Linked DNA regions of Caenorhabditis elegans. The protein of the gene in region 1 interacts with the protein of each later gene in a pairwise test. Each region holds a gene or a part of one and is shown in the gene's direction. Other genes may lie near its edges.

What was found.
Region 2: the proteins of cyn-2 (region 1) and K09E4.1 interact in a two-hybrid assay, tested with the Caenorhabditis elegans proteins (one large-scale study listed by BioGRID).

What each region holds. Positions count from the first base shown.
Region 1 is NC_003281.10:13,690,775-13,696,588, forward strand, and holds cyn-2 (Peptidyl-prolyl cis-trans isomerase 2), read left to right. Parts: upstream 1-1,893; 5' UTR 1,894-1,957; coding exon 1,958-2,026; intron 2,027-2,309; coding exon 2,310-2,561; intron 2,562-2,719; coding exon 2,720-2,917; 3' UTR 2,918-3,037; downstream 3,038-5,814. Other genes in the region: cul-2 (Cullin-2), read left to right, coding at 1-341, 842-934, 1,195-1,323. UniProt on the Caenorhabditis elegans protein: PPIases accelerate the folding of proteins. It catalyzes the cis-trans isomerization of proline imidic peptide bonds in oligopeptides.
Region 2 is NC_003280.10:14,134,683-14,141,488, forward strand, and holds K09E4.1 (Protein kinase domain-containing protein), read left to right. Parts: upstream 1-3,155; 5' UTR 3,156-3,203; coding exon 3,204-3,377; intron 3,378-4,170; coding exon 4,171-4,494; intron 4,495-4,746; coding exon 4,747-5,352; 3' UTR 5,353-5,388; downstream 5,389-6,806. Other genes in the region: cacn-1 (Splicing factor Cactin), read right to left, coding at 310-691, 1,595-2,052, 5,471-5,670, 6,609-6,806.

The sequences.
Region 1 (5,814 bases):
TCAATATGTCACAGGGAGATGTCAGGCTTACATACCTCGATAAGCAGTATGTCGCACAGATGTATGTCTATCAGATGGCAGCGCTGCTTTGCTTTGAACGTCGCGATGCTATCCTCGTTAAGGACATCGGAGAGGAGATTGGTGTGAGCGGTGACTATCTGCTAAAGACGATTCGAACGATTTTGGACGTTACCCTGCTGACGTGTGATGATCAGAATCTAACGGCCGACTCGTTGGTTCGTCTGAACATGTCGATGACGTCGAAACGGATGAAGTTCCGGCTTCAGGCGCCACAAGTGAATAAGGCTGTCGAGAAGGAGCAGGAGGCCGTCGCGAATACTGTAGGGTTTTCAGTTTGTTTTTCATTGGCGAGGGCCTCAAGTTATGACTTTTTGAGTTCAAGCACTAAAAATCTGTATTTTATTTAGTCCTAGACTTTAAAAATTTTTAAACGATCTCAAAAACCAAGTTTTAAAATGAGACACCTTGAAAAATTCTCAGCATTTTTATGACGGTGGAAATTAAAACAAGCCAAGCTCAACTAAAATCTCAAATGCTGAAAAATCTTTAATAAAGAGTTTAGGTGTTTTTTCGAAATTTTAAACCTTCGTAAAATTTTTTTAAATGTCTCACTATGAAATTTGGTCTTTTGTGGAAACTTTGAGTCAATTCAATCAATTAAACAATTTATCTGCTCCCTTTTTGAGCCAATGAGCCTAAATCAAAGCTATAAACTGTGGCCTAGAATTCTGAGAGACTAGACGTATTTAGTTAGGCCCCGCCTCGATGCAGCTAGATTATCCAAACACGTGTGCCTCGCAATCGTCAATATTAGTTCCAGGTTTCACAAGACCGAAAGTACTATATGGAGTGCGCAATTGTCAGAATTATGAAGACCAGGAAGGTTCTGAAACACAATGCACTTGTCACTGAGGTTTGTTAGATTTTTGTTGTTGGTCAAAACCCTGTAAAACGAGATATTCAACCGACTGAAAATGCTTTACAAAAATATTTTTGTTTGAATTTTGAACCAAGAAACTGAAAATCAAAAAGTGGATTTTCCTCCAAAAAAGAAAAACAAACAATTTTAGAAACAGTTTTTGGTCCGGAACCCCCCAAAAAAAAGCGAAAAAAATCTTTTTGCAAAATGTGCTATTCCACATCAAAAATGCGGAAAACAACATTTTCTTGCAGATAATGGACCAAACGAAAGGCCGCTTCTCGCCCGACGTACCATTCATCAAAAAGAGCATTGAGGACCTTATCGAGAAAATGTATATTCAGCGAACCGATCAAAATGACGAGTATCAATATTTGGCCTAATTCTCTCCCCCTATTTGCGTGTTTTTTCCCTGAGAGGCAAAAAACTAAAATTTAAAATTTACACTGTGTAAATGACTCTGAAACATGCCATTCAAAATCCCCACTATAATTTTATTTTTCAAGATTTTCTAACAATGATTGCTTTTTTTCCAAATTGAACTGTACTGAAAGTAAATCCCCTCGCCCCTCATCTTACATATTTTATATCATTTTTTGCTGGAGCTGCGCAACGGGGAATCATCAAACTGTTTATTGGAATACCTATTTTTATACTTTTGGAGCCCTCAAAAACTGAAAATCGCGGGAAATTCTCTGTTACTCCCGACAAACGGCTATTTGCCTATAAAACCAACCAGTCCGTAGCCTCTCCTTGAAAATGTATATGTACTATATTTGTCTTTTTTTTGTGTTCTATCCTCCCTCCTCAAGCAACTATTTTTTCTCCGGAATCTCTATGATTACGATAAAGTAGACAATTATCCTTCCCAAAATTCCAATTTTGTTTCATTTAAATTTTCACGTTTTTGAACTTGAACTTTGATCCACGACACTCTTACGGCACGTGGCAAGTCATAATGGAAAATTTGAACGTCGGTAGTTTTAAATTTATTACTGCGAAAAGAATCGATCAGCGATGCCACGTGTCAAAGTGTTCTTCGATATCACGATTGGCGGAAAGAAGGGAGGACGCATCGTTATGGAGGTAAGGGGGGCAGCGTTAGGTTCTCGGAGCAAATATGATTACTGTAGGCGCTAGTGGTATGTCAGTTTGCACTTTAATGAGTATAAATTGAGAAAATCGATATAATTTTTTGTTGCCATTTATCGATTTTTGTCGTTCTGTTATCGGTTTTTAGGATGATTGTAAAATCTTTTTCAATGGTCTTGCAGAAATTTGCCAGTTTTTCGACTTTTCAGGAAGTTACTAGATTTTGGCAACATTTAAAAATCAATAAACTAAAGATTTTTAAAACCTGTCGTTGCAGCTCTACAACGACATCGTGCCGAAGACAGCGGAAAACTTCCGCGCTCTGTGCACCGGCGAGAAAGGAAAAGGGAAATCGGGCAAGAAGTTGCACTTTAAAGGATCCAAATTTCATCGCATCATCCCCGAGTTTATGATCCAGGGCGGCGATTTTACGGAGGGAAACGGCACCGGCGGAGAATCGATTCATGGCGAGAAGTTTGACGACGAGAACTTCAAGGAGAAGCATACCGGACCCGGAGTCTTGTCGATGGTGAAGATTCTGAAAAACTAAAAAATCGATATTATATTTACTCAAGTTATCGATTTTTCTGTTATTGTCGATATTTGATCAAATTTTCTTTGAAATTTTTGTGAATATCGGGCTTTCTGAAATTTTATGCGCTCTGGAATTGACTATTGATTTTTCAGGCAAACTGTGGGGCGAACACAAACGGCTCGCAATTCTTCCTGTGCACAGTCAAAACCACGTGGCTAGACGGAAAACACGTGGTTTTCGGCAAAGTGATCGAAGGAATGGATGTGGTGAAGGCGATCGAGTCGAAAGGATCCGAAGATGGGGCACCGTCGGCTCCGTGCGTCATTGCTGACTGCGGAGAAATGAAGTGATGCTTCTCGAAGAACAACACTGGAGAATTCGTCTTTTTATTGGATAAATATGATTTTTATTCATTTTTTTAACAAAGCATAGTTTTTGATACGTGAATTCGAAAGACAATGATTCGTGAAGTTTTTAATCGTATTTACAGTGGGGGGACCACTTTATATCTCTAAAGTTTATTAGAATTTTAAATATTATGTCTCAGCCTCAAAAGCTTTGTGATTTTATGGCAAACAAACTCCGGGGATGCAAGTTTGTGGAATTTTGACGGAGTCCCTCATACAAGGCTGCCGCGTGGATTTTTAGAGGGCTCTTTCAATTTTGAAGTCAAACTTTCACGTTTTCAGCAAACTCTAGTTTTATATCAATATATTTACTTCCACAAATCAGAGGCCCCCGAACTAACTTTCCATGAAGTCTCTTTGCTGAAATGTCAGTCGTTTTTTTGTTGCGTGAATTTTCTAGAAATTGCCCAGCCGCCTACACGAATTCCGTCAGAGATATAAAAGTAACAAAAAAAAGTTGAAAACCGCGTGGTGACGTATGTACAGTTCTCTCTGGATGCCTACGTCTCTTATCATCACCACCGCTATTTTCGGTCAAAAACTGAGAGGGAGAGAAAAAGAGAGGCAGATGGTCAATAAGAGACGCAGAGAAAGAGCAGTGATGACTCCCCCAATCAAGAGTGCTTACTGACTTTTTCCCCATAGTTTTATATAGCACTGTTTTTTCTTGCATTTCTTTCATTTTTGAGTAAATTGATTTGTAGCAAAAATACTTTGAAAATCGATAAAAATAAGCTTTAAAAAAATTTTACAGACGTTTTTCCTGTAAATAAACTTCGCCAGTGTCTTGGCTTTTCAAGAACCAATATAAATATGGACGAGTTCTTTTCTTATCTCTAACTGAGTGAATTGTAAAAAGGTATCGTTAGCAAGCTTTTTTTAAATCTGAAAACAGGCTCCGCTCAAATCTGCGGTACTATTACGAGAACAATAAATCATGAGAATGCGTACGTGGAGCATTTTATTTTTTTATATCGATATCACTTAGCGAAAACTACAGTAAGAACTCAAATAACTATTGTTATTTAAGTTCTTACTGTAGTCTTCGCTAAGAGATATGACAAATAAAATGCTCCACATACGCATTCTCATGATTTATTGTTCCCGTAATAACTGTATACAGCAAATCCTGTGTTTTTCTCAAAATAGGCTGCTCCCATTCATTGGCTTTTTAGTTTATAATCGGACACTTTGGATTTAGAAACTCAAAAAAACCAAGATGTGCGGATTGCTTGTCATTTAACTTGTCAACCTTACTATGTATTAGCCTAGTGTTTACAGCAGGCATGTGGGGCAAATCTGAAAATTGGCCGAGCAGGGCGAAATTGGCAAATTTGCCGTGCATTTTATGTTATTTTACTAAACTTTGGGAACAAAATCTATTGTTTTGCTCAAAATTGAACGCCGTGCCCGGCAAATTTGGCAAATTTGGCAAATTTGCCAAGATCGTCAAACGGCAAATGAGGCAAATTTTCCGCACAAAACTTTGTGTAAATACCATGTTTTTTATTTCAAAATATTCAAAAAAAATCAATTTTTTTGGCAAAGAAAACTATTGTTATGCCCAGGGGTACGTGTCAATTGCCGTACGGTAAACGAATTTTCGGCAATTGCTGAAATTGCCGATTTACGAAAATCAGAATTGCCCGAACTGTAAGTTTGAAACTTTTTATAGATGTAAGAGCCTAAACACGCATTTTACTGAACAATTATCTCTTTTCAAGCTCAAAATGATTTAATCTAATTGTAAGGATTGACAGTTTTGTTTTCGAAAATGACAAACCGAATACTAAAATACAAGGTGACATTTTTTTTTCAATTTCCGAAATATAACTAGTTTTGAAAATTGCCGAACATTTCTGATTGCCGCGCACACCTGGTTGTGTCGTTGAATTTTATTTAATAAATTTAAAGTTTTAAAAACTCTTCCAACAAATGTGTTGTCAAAAAAAAAGGTTCCTGGTCGATTGGATCGTTATCCGGGACAGTAAGTGTGTCTCGTGTTGTTCAGTGTCACTTTCATTTCTGTTTTTACTTTCTCCAGCAATTTCTTCACTTTCCATCTCCCTCCTCGAATTTCTCTTCTCATAAGCATTTCCCTTTTCCTATCAGGATTTTCGATTTTTTTAAACGAAATGCGAAAACTAATGGTGGTGGAGGTCCTGGAACTTCCCCGCTTTCATGGTATTTCTTCTTTCTACACTTTTAATCACGTTACTTTTTCTAGTAGTTGTACATATATTTTTGAAAAAAAAATTGCCGAAAATTTCCAATGATTTGGCAATTTTTTTTGAATTATCTATTGTTTGAATTTTAAAAATATATAACTTTTCTTTGAGTATTTTAATAATTATTGATTTTTCAACATTTTCATAATCTGGATTTTGTCGGTGTACCTAAATTTTATTTTCGACTGCATTACAATGTTTGTGGCATATGACGTTTGGAAATATTTTGAAAATTCGAGATCTTTTTTATTAAAAACTTGAAAAAAATTTGCATCAGTTTTCGAATCGGAAAACTTTTCCCCAAAGATTTCATTTTGCAAAACTATATAATAAAACTAATTTTTTGAATTTTCTCGATTTCTCCAACTTTGGCATTCACCGAGTTGTTTTTACTATTAGTTAAATCGGCAAAAGGCTTATTTTTTAAATATCTATTTCTCCTTTCTACAACCATTAAAAAATTTGCGAAATTACCATGGAAATACCGTACAAAATACCAGGGTCCCACGTTTGCGTTTTATAAACCTTTTCCAAGATTTCATATTTTTCCGACAATATTTTTGAGGCGCATATAAGAACTATTTCCATGGTGCATCAAAATGTGTTTTACAC
Region 2 (6,806 bases), on another chromosome or scaffold:
TATTTTTAAATTTCCAAGCTTAGTTTCAAATTTTTTGGCTTATTTTAAATTTCCAAGCTTAGTTTCAAATTTTTTGGCTTATTTCCGAATTTTTTGGCTTATTTTCAAATTTTCAAGCTAATTTTAGAAGTTTAAGCTTATTTTTAAATTTTCCAGGTTATATCTAAATTTTCAAGCTTATATCTAAGTTTTCAAGCTTATTTCCAAACGTTTAAGCTCAGTTCAAATTTTTAAGCCTTTTTCCAAACTTTCAAGCTATTTTTCAAGTTTTCAAGCTTTTTTAGGCTTTTTTCCAAAGTTTCTCCGTACATTAAACTTGTATCCCTGTACAATCTTCGGCGGCGGATTATCCTGATCATAATGCGTCTGATTGTATTTATTCCAGTCGAATCCAGTCTGGACACGATTCAAATATGTCGGTTTGCGTGGGCGATATTTATCCGACCAGAGGTGTCGCTGAGCCGCCAGTTGCTCTTCGGCTCCGAATATCGATTCATCGGCTTCCATCCCTTCACGAGCTATTGCCATCATTTTCGATGATGCTCCTTGTGGAGCTCCTGACGAAGCGGCGGAGGATGATGGAAGTGTTCCACGATTCCTGTTACGACGTTCTGTTAGATTATCCACGTCGGCCTGCTCATCCAGGATCTCGATTCCGGGCATTGTGTCGTCGGCGCTGATGTAGGTAGGACTGAAAAATTGATTTTTTGGAGATTTCTTTCATGCCAAAAAAATCACATTATCACTGCAACTTTTTCCTCACGAGGGACGAGGAAAAGTGGTTTCTAGGCCATGGCCGAGGGGCCGACAAGTTTCAGCGGCCATTTATGTTGCTTTGTTTTCCGCCTGTTTTCTTTCGTTTTTCATCGATTTTTTTCGTTTTTTCTTAATAAAACTGATAAATAAATATTTTTTGCAAATGCTAAAACAATTTCCAAGTAAAAAATCATGTATTTAGTGGGCAAGCAGCGGTGAAAGTGGGCATTGTAATATGATGGATTACGGGAATACAAAACCTAAACTTTTTCTGAAACATGATACATATGCTGCTTAAATGCTGAGACTACCTGATTTTCATAACGAGACCGCTGAAAAAGTTTTGAGGTTTCCAAAATTCAACTTTTTTGGTGAAAAAGTCGAGATTTTCGCACAAAAAGTTGAATTTTGAAAACCTCAAAACTTTTTCAGCGATCTCGTTATGAAAATCAGGTAATTTCAGCATCTAAGCATCATATGTATCATGTTTCAGAAAAAGTTTAGGTTTTGTATTCCCGTAATCCATCATTTTACATTGACCACTTTCACCGCTGCTTGCCCACTGAATACATAATTTTTTCACTTGGAAATTGTTTTAGCATCTGCAAAAAATATTTATTTATCTGTTTTATTAAGAAAAAACGAAAAAAACACGTGGAAAACAAAGCAAGATAAATGGCCGCTGAAACTTGTCGGCCCCTCGGCCATGGCCTAGAAACCACTTTTCTTCGTCCCTCGTGAGGAAAAAGTTGCAGTGAAATTCAGTGAATAAAAACCAATTTTTGTGAAATTTTTTTGCAAAATTTACGGTTTTTCTGCCAAAAAAAAAATGCTAAACCTATAACATCCAATTCTGTACAACTCCCGAGTGACGTCATCCAACTGATCTCCCGTCAGTGCTCTCCATTTTCTCTCCCTCTCCGGCTCATCGAGCTCCGGATCATCAAGCGTCTGCACATCGATCTTTCTCCGAACTTTCTTCGATATTTTCTCATCATCCTCATCCTCCTCCTCCTCTTCTTCCTCTTCCTTCTGAATTTTCACTTGTGGTGGAACTTCAGCCACCGGGAGGAGCTCTTCCGACTCCTGCTGCTGAATCTCCTTTTTCTGCTCTTCCTTAATTATTGCCAACTGGAGCCGGAGCACACGGCCGTGATGCTCGCGGAGTCGCTTCCGCGCGATAAAAACCTTCAGCTGATCGTCCAAATCCTGCCAGTAACCCTTGTTTCCACTGTTTCCGCGGATTTTTGCGTCCATTTGGTCTTCCAGTTTGAGCAGCTCATCGATTGATTTGTTCTGGAAAAATTCGGGGGAAAATTGAGTTTTTTTTTTCAGAGTTTTCGGCTCAAATTGCGATAAAAAAGACAATTTTCCGCAAAAAATTACTGAAAATAAGTTATAAAAGCCGTTTCAAAATGTTTTTTTTTTGATTTTTCAATGAAATTGACAAAACTGACAAAAATCATGCTCTTAGCTTGAATTTTTTTGGTTTTTTTCCTCGAAATCTGTACTTTTTTTGGATTTTTTGGGTGGGCGGCAAACAAGTTTTCCGGCAACTCGGCAAACCGGCAAAATGCCGGAATTGAAATTTCCGGCAAATTGGTAAAATGCCGGAATTGAAATTTCTGGCAAATTGGTAAAATGCCGGAATTGAAATTTCCGGCAAATTGGTAAAATGCCGGAATTGAAATTTCCGGCAAATTGGTAAAATGCCGGAATCGAAAATTCCGGCAAATTGGTAAAATGCCGGAATTGAAAATTCCGGCAAATTGGTAAATTGGCGGAATTGAAATTTCCGGCAAATTGATGAATTGCCGGAATGGAAACTTCTGGCAAATTGGTACAATGCCGGAATTGAAATTTCTGCCAAATTGGTAAAATGGCGGAATCGAAAATTCCGGCAAATTGGTAAAATGCCGGAATTGAAATTTCCGGCAAATCGGCCAGTTGGCTGAATGGAAAATACCGGCAAATTGATGAAATGCCGGAATTGAAATTTCCCGCAAATCGGCAAGTTGGCGGAATGGAAAATACCGGCAAATTGATGAAATGCCGGAATTGAAACTTCCGGCAAACTGGTAAATTGGCGGAATTGAAATTTCCGGCAAATTGGTTTGCCGAATTTGCCGAAAATGTTCGGCAAATGTGGTTTTGTACTTTTTTCTTTTTTGAAAAGTGAGCAAAATAGGAAATTTTCAGCTCTTTTTTCAAAAACTTGGCTGGAAATCAGTAAAATCGCTTGAATTCCAGATTTTTCCGTTAAAATCAGCAAAAATAATTGTTTTTTTTTTAAATTTAATTTTCATTGTTTTGTCAATTTTTCACAAACGTGACCATTTTTTTCCAAAAAAAAAAACCACGTCCCTTCAGAAATTCTCGACTATTCGAATCAGTTTGAGAAATTGTTTTCACTCAAAACGTTCAACAAGAGGCAAATTCGACGAAAAATGGACACAATGGAGCAGCATCAGGAGCTTGAGCAAGAAGCCATCGGACCGGCTCTTCCACCGCCGTCAGCTGCTCAAAAATCGGAGCTCTTCGAGGAGCACAACGTCGAGTACGAGCTGATCAACGGGATCCCGTGCTACCAGCCGGATCATGTGGTCGACGGGCAAGTTCAGGTAAGGAATGACTCGAAAATCTTGTGAAAAACCCAGGAATTTCCCGCAAAATTCTCAGGTTTTCGTCGTTTTTCAAGCACATTTGCCACGTGGCCGCGAACAATTCGGTGGCCGAGTTTTCTCTTTCCCGGCCACGCAGCGAAGGTTGTGGCTGGGCTTGGGCTTCTTAACTCAGGCTTCCCGTCTTTGTCCGGACTTTTTTTTAGCGAAAAAATCACCAAAAAATGCAGTTTTTGGCACTGTCGATTAGGGGTGGGCGGCGATTGCCGTCCGGCAAATTTTTTTGCCGATTTGCCGGAAATTTTCAATTCCGGCAATTTGCCGATTTGCCGGAAATTTGTGATTTTCGGCAAACTGCCGGTTTAGTGATTTGCCCGAAACTTTCAATTCCGGCAATTTGCCGATTTGCCGGAAAATTTTGATTTTCGACAAACTGCCGGTTTGGTGATTTGCCGGAAATTTTCAATTCCGGAAATTTACCGATCTGCCGGAAAATTTTGATTTTCGACAAACTGCCGGTTTGGTGATTTGCCGGAAATTTTCAATTCCGGAAATTTACCGATCTGCCGGAAAATTGTGATTTTCGGCAAACTGCCGGTTTGGTGATTTGCCGGAAATTTTTCATTCCAGAAATTTGCCGATTTGCCGGAAAATTGTGATTTTCGGCAAATTACCGATTTGCCGGAAATTTTAGCGATTTTCCGCAAAACTGCTAGTCTTTGGAAAAGTGAAAAAAAAACTCAGAAATTCATCGATTTTCCCAATTTTCCAAAAATTAAACCACAATTTCCAGATCTTCGAACGAATCGGCTACGACGACAAGGTCGGCGGAACGTTCCTCGGGCTCAGCGCCGACGGAAAAGAGCTCGTCGTCCGCGTCGCACCGATCGACGCGCTGACTCATGTGGTTCGTGCCGAGGCGGCATTCCTGTGCAAGGTGGAAGCCGAGCTTCAGGACTGGCGGCTCTTCTCGCAAGTTCACAAGATCTTTCTGACCGACGACGCGTGGCACATGTCGCTGTACTTCCGTGGTGGACCGACGTTGGAGCAGTGCTTTGCGATGCGGAACAAGTTCACGCTTGGGACGGCTGGACGCTTGGCCGAGGATGTGCTCAATGTTAGTTGGCTCCTGGAGGTCCTAGCTGGAATCGCTCTGAAGCTTGAACGGGCTGTCTAGGCTTCTGGCGGAGCTTGAGCTCCCGTGTTGGCGCTGGAACGCCTGCCTACCTGCCTGGCTTCATGGCGATCTCAGGCAGGCGCCTGCCTACCATGGAAGCCTCAATTTCAGCTTATTTTGCTTGAAATCTCCAGAATTTCTGTCAATTTCACGGAACTTTGTAGAAATTCTTGATAAACTGCTCATTTTTAGGTGATCCGATGTGCTCACAAGCATGGCTACCTCGTCCGCAACATGGATCTCAACAGCTTCCACTACGATGCGGCAAGCCGTCACCTCTTCATGGCGGACATCTCGTCTTTGGTCAAGAACATTTCTGGTGATGATGGAGCTCCGATTGCTAGCTACGCTGGCTGCTTGGATTATGCTCCGTGCAGTGACGATGGTCTTGTTGGCGCCCGGCAGGATCTCGAGACATGGTTCTACCAGCTGGTTCACCTGGTGCTCGGCGAGCTCCCATGGGGAAGTCTGAGCCGCGAAGAGGCTGGAGTCAAGAAGGCCGAGTTCCAGAAGAGCAAGGAATTCGCGGAGCTTCCAGAGGTGTTCCACAAGATTGCCGAAGTGGTTATCGCCAAGGAATACTCGGTTGTCGAGGAGGAGGAATATGTCAAGTTGGCAGGGCTCACGGAGCAAATCTACAAGGAGCTCGGAGGTGTGACGGATCACGAGGAGAATATGGATTTCGAGCGGGAGCCGACGCCGGATGAGCTTCCACGTTTTGTGGCGTGCCGTGCCGATGAGATTCCGACGATCGCGGAGGAAGAGGAGCCGGCGGTTGAGGAAGAGAACTCGGAATAGGGATTGAAATTTGAATAAAATTTAAATATTGTGCGGAAAATAGGGTCAATTTTTGGGCTTTTTGCCGGAGGATTTTTAAAGTTTCAAGTTAATTTTTCAGCATTTTCAGGCACTCTACCTTGAACATATTCTGAACTTCTGTCTGCACACTCGCATGCACATCACCTCGATTCTGTGCGGCCTTCTTCTGAATCTCGTCTTCGGCGATTCGTGTAACATCCATCCACCAAGTCTCGTTTTTGGCCCATCCGTCGACTTCTCTGTACGTTTTGATGTCCTCGATGAGATCCTCGTAGTCGTCGACTGATTTGCATGAAGCTGGAAGAGAAAATTGGGTTTTCTAGGCCACCACTTTTGAAGTCCTCTCGGACACAATTTTAAAGTTTTATATACTTTTTTTTTAGGATTTTGAAAGTGAAAAAAACGCTTCTTCAACTGGAAAAAGTAACTTTTTGTAAGTAACTTCTCCTCTCGGACAATTCTTGGAATTTTAAATTTTTTTTCCAATTTTTTTCTGAAAAAAGCGTGTAAATTTTCTAAAAATTGATGTGAATTGGACTTTTTCGATTAAAAATCTCAGAATACGCAAAATTTCAGAATTTTAGGGCTTTTTGGCAGGAAAAAATTGGGATTTTTGCCGAATTTCAGAGTTTTAAATATACTTTTTAGTACTTTCGAGGAAAAAAATGATTCTTAAACTGAAAAAGTGGTTTAATTTTGAAAAATATGAATTTTGACTCCTCTCGGACAAAATTTTGCTGAATTTTAGAGTTTTCAGGGAAAAACCGACAAAAATGAATTTTTAAAAGAAAATTAAATAGTTTTTTCTTGGAAAATTAATTTCCGCTACTTAATATGAATTTTGTACTCCTCTCGGACAAAATCTTGAAGAATTTCGGCAAAAATCGAGAAAAACCAGTTTTTTTCTGGAAAAAAATCGAGTAAATTTTTAAAATATGGCGTCATCAAGTTTTCTAGGCCACCGTGTACTCCTCTCGGACAAAATATTGAGGAACTTCAGCAAAAATCGAAAAATCCTGTTTTTTCAGGTTTTTTCTGGAAAAAATCGAGTAAATGTTTAAAATATGACGTCATCAAGTTTTCCAGGCCACCGTGTACTCCTCTCGGACAAAATATTGGGGAATTTCGGCAAAAATCCTGTGTTTTTCAGTTATTTCAGGAATAAGTTGGGCTTGTGTTGAAAAAATCGATTTTTTTTCCAAATTTTCACGATTTTCAGTAGATCATCTCTCTACCTTTAAGGTATTCCATGGGATTTTCGAGCTCAAAATCGGGAATTTTCGCCGTATGTGGATTCTCGTCGGCAAATCTCGCATATCTCGACAGCAAATCGATCGCCTTGGCTCGGCCCTGATCGATACGAATCCGAGTTCGCTCCTTGATCTGATCCATTTGAAATTCGCGCTCTTTTGTGTCGGAAATTTGTCCGGCAC